Linked DNA regions of Coturnix japonica. The protein of the gene in region 1 interacts with the protein of each later gene in a pairwise test. Links are inferred from orthologs where the notes say so. Each region holds a gene or a part of one and is shown in the gene's direction. Other genes may lie near its edges.

The links. The genes of interacting proteins can lie anywhere in the genome.
Region 2: the proteins of SEC23B (region 1) and PRRC1 interact in binary tests that used the Homo sapiens proteins (3 or more experiments, as listed by UniProt). The two-hybrid records come from large-scale screens. The link is inferred for Coturnix japonica from reciprocal best matches to the Homo sapiens genes SEC23B and PRRC1.
Region 3: the proteins of SEC23B (region 1) and HOXA3 interact in binary tests that used the Homo sapiens proteins (3 or more experiments, as listed by UniProt). The two-hybrid records come from large-scale screens. The link is inferred for Coturnix japonica from reciprocal best matches to the Homo sapiens genes SEC23B and HOXA3.

The regions. Positions count from the first base shown.
Region 1 is NC_029518.1:13,391,556-13,395,055, reverse strand, and holds part of SEC23B (protein transport protein Sec23B), read left to right. Parts: intron 1-628; coding exon 629-773; intron 774-1,321; coding exon 1,322-1,480; intron 1,481-2,056; coding exon 2,057-2,172; intron 2,173-2,978; coding exon 2,979-3,102; intron 3,103-3,497; coding exon 3,498-3,500. UniProt on the Homo sapiens protein: Component of the coat protein complex II (COPII) which promotes the formation of transport vesicles from the endoplasmic reticulum (ER).
Region 2 is NC_029547.1:50,254,307-50,258,501, forward strand, and holds the start of PRRC1 (protein PRRC1), read left to right. Parts: upstream 1-1,395; 5' UTR 1,396-1,508; exon of another isoform or gene 1,509-1,561; intron 1,562-4,195. UniProt on the Homo sapiens protein: May act as a regulator of the protein kinase A (PKA) activity during embryonic development.
Region 3 is NC_029517.1:29,870,869-29,875,109, reverse strand, and holds the start of HOXA3 (homeobox protein Hox-A3), read left to right. Parts: upstream 1-1,441; 5' UTR 1,442-1,653; coding exon of another isoform or gene 1,654-1,846; intron 1,847-4,241. UniProt on the Homo sapiens protein: Sequence-specific transcription factor which is part of a developmental regulatory system that provides cells with specific positional identities on the anterior-posterior axis.

The DNA.
Region 1 (3,500 bases):
AGAGTTATTGTCCTGCATCAAGTGATGCAAGTGGGTGAGATTTACTAGGGCAGTGTTTTAGCCTTCTGTGGTGTCTTGTTTTTGCAGTTACAAGAACATCATTGCTAGTCAGACTGGATTTCTTCTTGATAAGTATAGCATAGCTGTCTTCAGAAAGCATATTGTTCAGGGGTCAAATGTGTTTAGAGCAGGAACCTTTTTGGTTGACGACTTCATGGGGTCCTTGTTTATGAGTAACAGTTCTTGCTTGGATGAGTAAAATAAACCACAAGAAACAACAATTGGTGGGCAGGTAGTGACCCCTGAACAGTGAAGCCCTATTTGCCTCTGTTGAATGCAGTTGTTTGCTTTTATTCTCCACTCCTCTTTTCCTGTGGCAGCTCCTCTACCTTTTGGTGGACTAAATCACCACTAAGGTCCTTTTCTGTGCTGTGAGTGACTTTGCTTTCTTGTCAGTTCCTGATGGCTTCCTTTGATCAATTCTGTTACTTTGCCTGTTAGCTTGGATTGTCTGGACGTAAAGGAACGTGCTATGTAACATTTTGCTTTTTGTTAAGTCTTCCAGTGTAATTAAAGTGTGCTAGGAACAGGGGCACACTTAAAGTGGGAAAACATTTCAATTTTTCAGGTTCTTGCAGCCAGTACATAAGATTGATATGAATCTAACAGATCTCCTTGGAGAACTTCAAAGGGACCCGTGGCCAGTGACCCAAGGAAAGAGGCCTTTGCGTTCCACTGGAGTAGCTCTTTCGATTGCAGTTGGCTTGCTAGAGGTACTTTTATTGCAGCTGTTTGTTAGGGATGAGCTGGTCAAAGTAAGCACATGGCAGTTTTTGCTGAGACATGTACAGGTCTCAGTGCACATTGGTTTGCAGCCCAGTTACTTTGAGATGCAGTGGCATATTTTGTCTGTGCTGATGTGTGGCATGAGTTAGCACCAGCTGGTGTAGAGTGGGCTATAGGAATTTATATTTAGCTGTAAACTGTGTGAAAGGTGCAGGTGTTTAAAGGTTTCTAATTCTTACATATATTGCCATGTGAAGGTGATTGTATGTACTGTGATTCTTTCTGTTGTTTCTTTGCATGGGTCATCTAAGGTTGAAGTAAAAAGAATTGAAACTGCCTGCTTCCTGTTGTGATGATTGCTGTAGTTTGAGTCTAACCTAGAGGGTGCCTGTCAGGAAATGTCTTGCTGTTTTTCAGGCCTGCCTGTAACAGAGATAGGTCCCAGATGGTGTTGCAGAATAACGTACAGATTCCTCTGTAAAGAAACCACTGTCCTCTCCCTGAGTTCTAATATAAGATCTTGTCTTTATTTTAGGGCACGTTTCCAAACACAGGAGCCAGAATAATGCTATTTACAGGTGGTCCGCCAACACAGGGACCAGGCATGGTGGTGGGAGATGAATTGAAAACACCCATTCGTTCTTGGCATGACATAGAGAAGGACAACGCGAGGTTCATGAAGAAGGCCACCAAGGTACGTGCTGGTGTCAGCTGGGGGAGAAAACACACACAGCAGCTTAGGCTTGTTGTGTGTGCAGGGGGTGCTTAAAGGCAAAATACAAATGCAAGTGTTGGAATACAGAATGGGGTTGGGAGGAAGGAGATGACCCAAACCTATATAGGCAGCTGTCCAGTATCATTCTGTAGGTCATGGAAGTCTTATTTTCTTTATATGGAATTAGTATGTCCAGACATTTGCATGGATGTTCACAAAATGCATGAGCCTTTCTGTGTGTTAAGCTATGAGAATGGTCAAAGGATGGGTGAGAGTCTTATTGTTAGTTACTTCTCCAAGTATGGTCGTGTGCCTTCTCAGAAGTATTTCAGTGTTCTCATCTGGCTGCTGGGGAGCGGAGGTCCTTTTACCTCCTTTAGGAGAGGGGAAAAAATACAAGCCTGTATTCCAAGAACTGGTGATTTCTAAAAAGGCTCCGTTTTCTCTTAACATATGAAAGAATAGTTAAAATATTAGGTGTGAAATGTGCCTGTCAGCTTAGAGGCATATTCCTTCATATTCCTTAATGTTGTTTGTGTTGTCTGTTCTCCCCAGCACTATGAGACTCTGGCCAATCGCACTGCCACCAATGGGCACTGCATTGACATCTATGCCTGCGCCCTGGATCAGACTGGACTGCTAGAGATGAAATGTTGTGCAAACCTCACTGGGTATGTCTGCAACAGGAAACACAAAGGTGGCACTTTTATTTCTGGAGGGGGAGAACAGTTTGGAAAGCAGTTAGTTTTCTATGAAAGCAAAAGGGGGAGATTTGTGTCATTTTATTCTAAATTGTGGTTTGAATTTACCAGGAGTTACATGGTAAACCTCCCCTGATCCCAGGCCACATTTCTGAAGCCTCAAAGTAGCGTAAGAGTTAACACTGCTGGTAGAAAACTCAATGTCCTGCTTTGGAGAAAGGTATTCTAAAGCATGATGCAACATGTCTTGCAAAAATGCCTTCTGTCTCCTTCAAGTGCCCTGGCAGGTAGCAAGAAGATCCTTTGCAGAACTGGTGGGACATAGATCCCCTCTGTTGTGTGTGCGTGACTGAAATGCTATCAGAATAGCAGAGCTTCAGGCATGGTGGGTAAATGCTTTCATTGTGTTGGCCAGATTTCCTCATGCTTAACAGCTCATTTTGCTTTCTTAATGGAGGTAGGCTGAGCAAAGCTCTCTTCTGGGTAGAGCTGTTTGTAACCAGTGAAAACAGGAGCATTTTTAAGGCAGCTGAAGGGATGACAAGAAACATAGCTTAGAAAGCAAGCTGGCAAAGGTGGAGCACTAACTTGTTTGGCTTTGGAGGCATCCATGAATATGTTCCCTGATGCAAATTCTACCTATGCAAAGGCATGCTTTAAAACAGTTTCTGTCTGTATTTGAGTGCATGAGAGTTGGAGGGGTTTGTATCCTTGGTGATATACTTCTAGCTCTCAATTGTTTCAATTCCCTTGCGTGGCTTTTTTTTCCTTCTCAGAGGACACATGGTGATGGGAGATTCCTTCAACACTTCTCTCTTCAAGCAGACCTTCCAGCGGGTGTTCAACAAAGGGCTCAATGGGGAATTTCGGATGGCTTTTGGTGCAAATTTGGAAGTGAAGGTGAGAGATAAGTTTAATTAACTGGCACTGACTTAGAAGTGCAAGTGCTGTTGATTGGAAAAGTTGACTAGGTATTTACGTGTAGAAAATTCTCCATCTTTGAGGTCAGCTGTAGTGCCTTCTTTGGAAAAAGCATCATGCTGGAGTGAGGGAAGGCATTCTTTATTTGAAATTTTATTAAATTTATGGTTAAAATAATAATAATAATAAAAAGCTGAGCTTATTTTCACCAGCTGTGGCAGTAGGGGTGACCTGTGAGAGTACTGAAGGATGCTTTCCATGGTAGCCTTGTATATTCACCTTCTGATTGAAGCTGAGCACCTCATTCAGTCTATGTGTGTTCCATCTGACTAACTTGATTTTTTTGTTTAAGCATTTTTGTTGTCTTGTTCTAGACA
Region 2 (4,195 bases), on another chromosome or scaffold:
TGCTTGGGTCACCCCTGTATTACCAACATGGGTCAGACCTTTCACCCACCTCCGAACTGGCAAGGTTGTCTTAACTGTAACTTCATCTGCTTGGGTTACTGGCTCTACTGTCTGTAATGCACGGTAGGCAGCCAGTAACTCTTTTCAATCATATTATACCTCTTTTCTGCTCCGGCCAGACCTGAGACCAGAACCCAACTGGGGTTCGAATGGAATTCTAGCACTTCTGTAGGCCCCAGCCTAACTTGTCCTGAGGCACATGGAGATTTAGTTTGGCTGGAAGGGTGCCTGGGCCTGTTTAACAGCTAGTTTTGCTTGCTAGAAGGCCTCTTGTTCTGTTCTTCCCCAGTCCCAGTCCCACTTTTGGCCTTCCTTGGAGTCAGTATGAAGGCCTCAGCCACTGCGCTAAGTGAAGTATAAAGGAACACCAGTATCCCTATATGCCCCAAAATTCTTGCTGCCGCCCTGGCACAGTAGGGATTGGGAATGCTTAAACTTTGCCTGTTATTGCACTGGATAGTATTTTGGTCTTTCCTGACCAAATTGCACCCAGGAATTTCACCGACAGGCCTGGTCCTTGCACCTTCTGTGGGTTTATAGCCCACCCTTTCTCTTGCAGATAGGTAGTCAATAAATCTACTGCCTTTCCTAATGCCTCCAGTAGGTCAGATGTCAGAATCAAAGCAATTGAAAAAAACTGACTAAGCAAAATTAAGAATTATGTTTCCATGGTAGAAACTGTTTCCTGAACATGCTATTAATTAACCCGCCTACCAAAGAGTCGGTGGAAGTCAGGCAGGAATCAATAAAATTCAACATTTATGAATCGTCTCCTAGGAAAATCTCCATTTGGAAAAATTAACGTCACTCAGTCAGTTTCAGGCGGCGGCTCAGCACCCCTTCCCAAACCATTCCCCGGCCGTTCGTGGCTTTATTCTACCACAGCGGCCACGAATAAACACGGCATTATCGCCACGAGAACCGCAGGAGAGACAAGCCCCCCGGCCGGAGGTTCCCCGGCACGGACAGCAGAATGGCCCCGCCAAGCGGCAGTCACAACGCCCGCCCCGCGGCGCCATCTCACAGCGGGCGGCCACCCCCACCGGGCGCCCCGCAGGAGACGTGGCGACGCGTGGCGGGGGGCGGCACCGCAGAGCGGCAATGCGGGGCGCAGGCGCCTCGCTGCAGAGCCTGCCGGGACTCGTAGTCGGCATTGGGGCCGGCGGTCACCCGCTTCGTTGCCTTTGGGGCTCGGCTCGCCCCTTCTCCTCCGGGCCGGCTCTGCCGCTCCGCCCGTGGTGCTCGGAGGGGCCGATCCGCAGCAACGGGTGCTCGGCAGGCGCCTGTAGTCGCGCCGACGGGACGGCGCCGCGCAGTCACCCGTCGTCCCCGGCGGCGGGAGGGAGTGTCCGGAGGGCCGGGCCGGGCGGCGGGGCCGTAGCGCAGCCGTCGCCGCCCTCGCTTGCCGGTCCGACTGCGGCGGTGCGGGCCCGAAGCGGCTGGGGCAGGTGTGGGGCTCGGGGCGCTGCGGGAGGCCGGGACCCGCGGGGTGGACGCGGAGGTGAGAGCCGGTGGGGTCGGGAAAAGCCGGCAGAGAGTCGAGCTGGCCGCCTAGGCCGCACCGCTGCCGCGGCCCCTCGGTGCCACGCGTGAGGGTGGGCAGAGGCTCCGGGCCGAAGCCGCGATAACCTCGGTCCGTGAGGGTTCCGCAGGCAGCACTGCGGCTAACAGGCCGGGCCGGCACGCCGTATGTTCCTTTTGGCTGCTGCTCGCGCGTTCTTGTGCGCGGTGAGTCACCGGCTGCCCTGCCCGACTGCCTCCGTAGGGTCCGGGTGCCCGGCTCCCACCTGGGGAACCTGTGCGGTGCCGGTGTCAGCGACTGCGGGCTGTGACCGTCCTCCCATCGGGGACCGGCTTTTGTCTGACAGGCGGTGCTGCGGCGTCAGATCAGACACTGGAGGCACCGCTGAAGTGAATTACCCTTGATTTCAGCGATTCATGATATCTCACAAAAAAAAACAACCCAGAAAACAGTTATTTTTTGAAAAGAGAGGGGAAAAAATAGATCAACAATAACAAAAAATCACCCTGCAAAGCAGCATCTGGAAGTGCAGGAGCTGTTGCACCTCAGCATATCTTCAACTCCTCGATTACTACTGTTTTTGTTATTAGTATGAAATAACTGTGGGAGGCTTCTTTCTTCCTATATTTATTTTTGCATATTATGTGCCTCTCTTTGGACTTCAAGAGGATCATTCAATACTTGGTGATTAGACGGACTTGGTGCCCTTCCTTTGGCTCCCGTGAGGCTTTGTGTGCCCTCTGGCACCTCCCTGCAGGCTCTGAATTTTATCCCTGGCCTTCTCTCCCTTTCTAACATAGAATAAACCAATGTCAGAAATGCTTTGAATGAAAGTTTTATACTTCGTGTACTTAGAGAACAAATGGTGTGTTTTTGATTTAGGTCAGCTTCACTTCATCTTTAGTAGGATGCCGTTCTAATTTATCTTCTGCTTTTTTGTGTGCATCTTGTTTTGTTTTTAGCATCTTTTGGTCAAACCTGTATGAGTTCTTGGGCTTTTCAGTCCCCCTTGGTCTCTTACTACATTCAGTAGAATTCTGTATCTATGTCTCAGTTAATGCAGCCTGGGGTGTAACATTTTGTTTGAAGCAGTGGTTGCACTGGGAATGGATCATGACTGTGAATTAGACATAAGGAAAAACTTTCTCAGAGAGTGGTCAGAAACTGAAATGGCTGCCCAGGGAGGTGGTGGAGTTGCCATCCCTGGCAGTGTACAGGAGGTGTCTGGATGAGGAGCTACAAGTTATGGGTTAGTGGCTTGTGGTAGCAATGATGATTGGAGGACAGTTGGGCTAGATGATTATGTACTTTCCAACCTTGTGATTCTGCGATTCTATGAAATAAGTAACTGACTGCTGCTTATTCTGGCAGGCTGCTAACTTGCATGTAACCATCACTGGTGTATGTGACCATTACTCTGCTTCATGCATTTAAGTGAAATAGATATGCATATTATGATTTAAACGTGAGAAGTTTAATAGCATTTGAGATCAGTATTCCTACTACATTCCTACTACGTTGCCCCTTCAGGCTCTTAAGTATATTGTTTTTGTCATTTATTAGCAGGAGTGTCTACTGAAAGGCAAGAAGGGGTTAATCAAGAATGGCATCAAATATGACCTAGCATAAACTCTGAAGCCTGTCTGATTTCTGGATAATGTGTTCTTATCCATGTGAAATTTACCTATCTCCGATCGTAGGTAATCTTACCATTAACTGTCAATTTCAGAGTTAGAGTAATAACCCAAATAACAGTTTTGAGGTATGGTCATGTCATTGAGATTACTGCAAAACACTGAAACAAACACAGTCACTTCCTATTAAACGCAAGTAAAGAAAATGATTAACTTGCTAGCTCAATCTCTAATTCAAATCACTTGCTTCCTGCTTTTGACATGAGCTCTGTGAAATTTTTCGATCAGGTCTGGAGCCATTGTTCACCTCAGTGCATGCACTCCCTTGCCTTTGGGAGCACGGCTTAGGCTGAGGTTTGACTGGTGAGAATCTGTATGGTCACTTCTCAGCTACAGAGTGGCCTTTGGGGGTTGGAACTACATGATCCTTGAGGTCCCTTCCAACCCGGGTAATTCTGTGATTCTGTGATTCTGTATGGCCGTATTTAATAAACCAAATAACTGTTGGGAACTTGATATGATTTGTGCTGCTTCTTAAAGGGGTTATTTTAAGGATAACTAAACGTTGGACACACAGGGTTGGTTATTTTGTGTGTGTGTGTGTGTTTCTTTTTTCCCTCTGTATTTATTTTTTTCCTGCATCCCTTGTTTTGATTTCATAAAAGTATAAATAAAGTTTTTCTTACATGAGGTGAGATTATCAAGTTTCTGCGATCAGCTTCTGGTCTCAGATCAGTAGATGGCAGTACTGCTGTACTTTTTGCCTCTTTGTACACACTTCAGTTTGCTTGTTTCAGAATATTTCTTTTGTGCCTTCAGTTTACTAATACAGAGTGCTCCAGTTTGCAAGAAGGAGAAAAAGTCTCATTTGTTGTTATTTTTTGTTGTTGATTTTAATTATTTTTCTAAGTAATTTTCCCATTTACTTCTGTTTCATTGTGTGGCTATGTTTGAAAAATCTCTGCTGACCATAAAGCAA
Region 3 (4,241 bases), on another chromosome or scaffold:
GTTTGTCCCGATGATCCCAACGTGTTAATATGTAATACCGTGAATTTTCCTACGATAGCAAATATTGTATATTTGAACGATTTTTTTTTTTTTTTGTCATTTATATTTGTCTTGGAACTCATTTGTAAGACCGTGTCATAAATTGGGAAGTATGTAACAAATTGGGAAACTTTTGTCGCATGACGTATCGTTCAGATCTCTGTATAAATCCGTCTCGAAGGTTTGGCTAAAGTTGATTCAAACAATTGTATGTTACAATGTGTTTCGATGTGTTCGTTGTGAACATTTGGATATGCCGTGTAAGTATTGGAAGTGGAAAAAAAAAAAAGAATCATGTCTGTGAACTCTCTTTGGAAGTGATCCCGTGTTCAAGTATCCCCCACGATAAATGTGTTTTATGTCACACGGAAAAATAAAGATGCTTGTTGACAATTAATTGTGCTTTTTTTGTCTGCTTGGTTTTTTTAATTAGAGAAACAGTTCGAAGGAAGGAGAAAAAAATAACCAACACGCACAAATAAAGGAATTCGACCACACTGTTATTATTATTATTTTTTCCCCTATGAGCGAAAGGAATAAAATAACCCGAGGTGACGAATGGACAGTATTCAGTCCAGTTCTCTATTTTAACTTTGGTTTGTTTTTTTTCCTTTCTTTTTTTAAGTTAATGTATTTATTTCTCCCAGCGCGGTTGATTAATAAAGCGGAAAGCTTCTTTATGGCAGGGCTTCCTTCCACCGTGCTCCGGGGTTCCTCTAGAAAGCCCGAGCCCGGCCCAGGCGGCCGTGATAGAGCCCCATTCGCACGTAGGGCAACCAGATTTGGGAAGGAGCAAAAAAGTGATGGGCGAAACTTCCCGGGGTTGAACGCTCGGCTGAGGACGGGCGGCTTTCCGAGGCCGAGGGACACGGGAATTGGGCTTTCAAAAAGAGGGGGTAAAACAGCCCCGCTTTAGGATAGATATCCGGATTAGATATTCATTCTGCTGTGTACCACGCGAAAATCGAGGCGAGAAAGTGCTGTCAACGATGAAAAAAATAAAATAAATAAAAAAAAAAATGTCAGAAATGAGAAATAAGAAATTAAAAATAAATAAAAAATAAATAAAAAATTAAAATAATTTTTAATAGCCCGAAAAGTCCCTTTCTGAGGGCGGCCGAACGCAGTGTAGAACGGGAGCATCGTCTGAGCTGAAGTTCCCCTTCACCGCCGCTCTCGGTCCCCGCCGATGGACTAATTGCCATTTTAATAAAATTAGTGCGAACTCCAGGTCTGCTTTAAAAAAAAAATAGAAAGAAAATCCGGGGCTGCCTCTGTGGTAAGATGGCGCCTCTCTAAGACCTGCCTCTTCTTAGTGATGAGGAAAAGGCCATAAATCCGTTGTTGTTTATGAAAATTTACAACTTTGCAATACAACTTTATGAGTTGTTCGGTTTTTCCATTGGTCGTTGTCGGTCATGTGGATGGTAACCGTGAACATGAACTTTTTTATAATTTCCCTTGCGAGAATAGAGCCGCATTCTTTTGCTGAGCTCTGTCCTGCTTCGGATCTCTCTGGCTTTCAATCCCCATTTCATTTGCTCTTTGTAAGGCAATAGTGAACAAAGTGTGCGGAGGTTCGGCATAAGCAGCCGCCTAGAACACAGATCCGGGATGGCAATTTCCAGTTCCCCCGCTGGAAGGTGTGGCATATTGGATTCAAAGCACTGGCGTGGCAGATTTTCAACTTGCAACCTGGCTAATTTCCTGCTTCTTCTGGCACCAAAAGGAGGGCGATTCGTCTCCTGTGCAGCCAAAGCGACAGCTGTCAAAGTCGCAGGGGCTCCTGTGAGCCAGAACCTAAAAGGTGAGAAATGTATATGACACTGCCGTAAGCAGGGAAACATGCTTTAATACGGGGAGATATTAGACGTGTGCAATTAAAGCGAATGGGGGAATGTGAGCGGCCAGAAATAGACGCGGTCGCAGCTCGGCTCCTTTCGGTTTAACCTGTGCATGCGGAGATGCTGAATAAAATGCCGATTTGCTATTATTTCTACGGGAAGCGTGGATTTTTCACCAAGTTTATTTCTGCTTGCGTTTGCCGGGGGGTCGCTGTGGCATTCCGATTATTTTCTAAGAATTCAGGTTTACAGCATCAATCCGGGAGCATTACTGTTATTATTATTATTATTTTTGCCGGCGCGGAGGCGGGGGTGTGTGTGGGGGGAGATGATTTATATATGTATATAAAAGCAATATTTTTCTTTCGCAGCATTAACTTTAAGCTCCATCGCGGCAGCTGAAATTTAGATGTGATTTATCTGTGATTATTTTAAGTCTGTTTTGGATAGGGGGTGGGGTGGTGGAATCACGGCACAACGCTCCTGTGTCCGGGGGAAGGTTCTTCCCGGAGCACGGCTGTGCCTTTGGTTGTCTCTCTCGGCTGCTCGCCGCGGAGCCGTGGCGCAGCGCTCGGGCGGCGGCAGCGCTCAGCTCGGCTGCGTGGAGCAGAGAGGATGGGGGAGCCGGGGCTGAACCCATTCTCCCCTCACTGTGAGAGGGGAGAGGGTGCGAGTCCCCTCCCTACAACCCCCGGGGAAGACTCTCGGGCCCCCGCCGCCGCCCCGTGATGGTGACAGCCATCACGGGTGAGCGGCTCGCAGAGCTGTTTGTGCCGCCGAAGCCTCGCATTTGCATTGCATTGCGGTACCCGGCGGAGTGGGGCTGCGGCGAGCGGCGGATTATTTATTGCAGGCGGCGGTGCTCAGTGCTGCCACGGCGTGGCCGAGCCGCGGAGGCGGGCATCGGGAACGGGGCAGCGCCGGGAGACTGCGCCGCTGCTGCCGGCGCAGCGCAGGGGCTTAACCCCCGCCTCCCCTCACCCATAAAGATATATATTAAAAAAGAGATATATATTTTAAAAAGGAAATCCTGCCTACCGCACCTCTATGGAGCATCGCTCCCTTGGGCCGATGTTGCGCTGCCCCCTCCCTTCGTTGTGCTCTCGGTGTGTGTGTGTGTCAGCTGGGGGCGGCTCTCGGTCTATGCCCTCCAGGCCTCTCCCCAGTGTCCCTCGGGTCAGAGCGGCCGCTCAGCCGGCCCGGAGCGCTCGGATTCGAGCTCTTGGTTAAAGGGTAGGGGGCTGGGGTGGGGGACGCTGCCGAGCAGATAATGGCTTGTAAGGGGGTTTGTGTACGAGGAGAAGGAGGGTTTTAGGGTTAGGAGGGGAAGTGCCCCCGCACCTGTATCTGTGAATGAAGAGAGGGGGACGCGGGACGCGGGGAGCTCTGCAAACAAACATACGGCCCGGAGATACCGGGGACTGAAGCATGGGGCTCTGTGGCAAAACGCTGCGGCTGCCTTCTGCTTCCCGGCAGGAAAACTGCAATGAATGTGGCCGAGCGGGCAGAGCTCGGGGTGCCGAGATTCGGGGTGCTCGGGGGCGGGGGGAGGAGCGCAGAGGACGTGAGGATATGAGACTGTGATACTGTGAGAGCAGCACAGAGCGCAGCGCAGAGCGTTCGGCTGTCACCGAAACGGCTCGGCCGCGGCCCGGCCGCGCAGAAGGGAACATAGAGCGTCTTTCGATATTATGGGGGCAACGAAGATATGCTTTCGCTGCTCGCGGCCGGGGTTCAGATGGTCCGGTTTGAATGCGAGCGATAACTCGAGGGAGAGAAGGAAAAACCAAAAGGAAAAAAAAAAAAGAAAGAGAAATAAATCAATGCATAAAGCAAAGCTGCAAAATGTAAATAAAAGAGCCTTGCGCGATTTTTAAACCTCGGTCTCCGTGCGATGGATTCACACAAAGGCCGCCCGGCCACAACTTTTTAAAGTAGGGCCGCTGCGCTCCGCTCGCCCCGAATATTGATGTTTCACGGCGCGTTTTCGTTCTGTTCCACGTTTTTGGAAATGCTCTCGTTTTAAAGCTCTTTGTGCTCACCGCGCTGTGTGCCGGGCTGCTGCCGTTCCCCCTTTTTATAGCCCTATTTGCAGAGAGTACAAAACTTTCCTGGGGAAGGCAAACACTCGTTTCCCAATGAGCCCGCAGCTCAGAGCCGGGGCTCTGCCAGGTGTGGCCGCGGGTCGGCCGGCACCGGGAGTTTAAGGAAGTTGAAAAAAAATTGGAGGCAATCAACATCTGAATGTGAAAGTCCAGCTGAGGCCGCGAACAATACGAACTATTGTGGGGCGACGTTTTAACTCGCTGCTGTTTTATAGGTATCGTAATCAGCCCCCGGAAATGAGATAAATAGTCC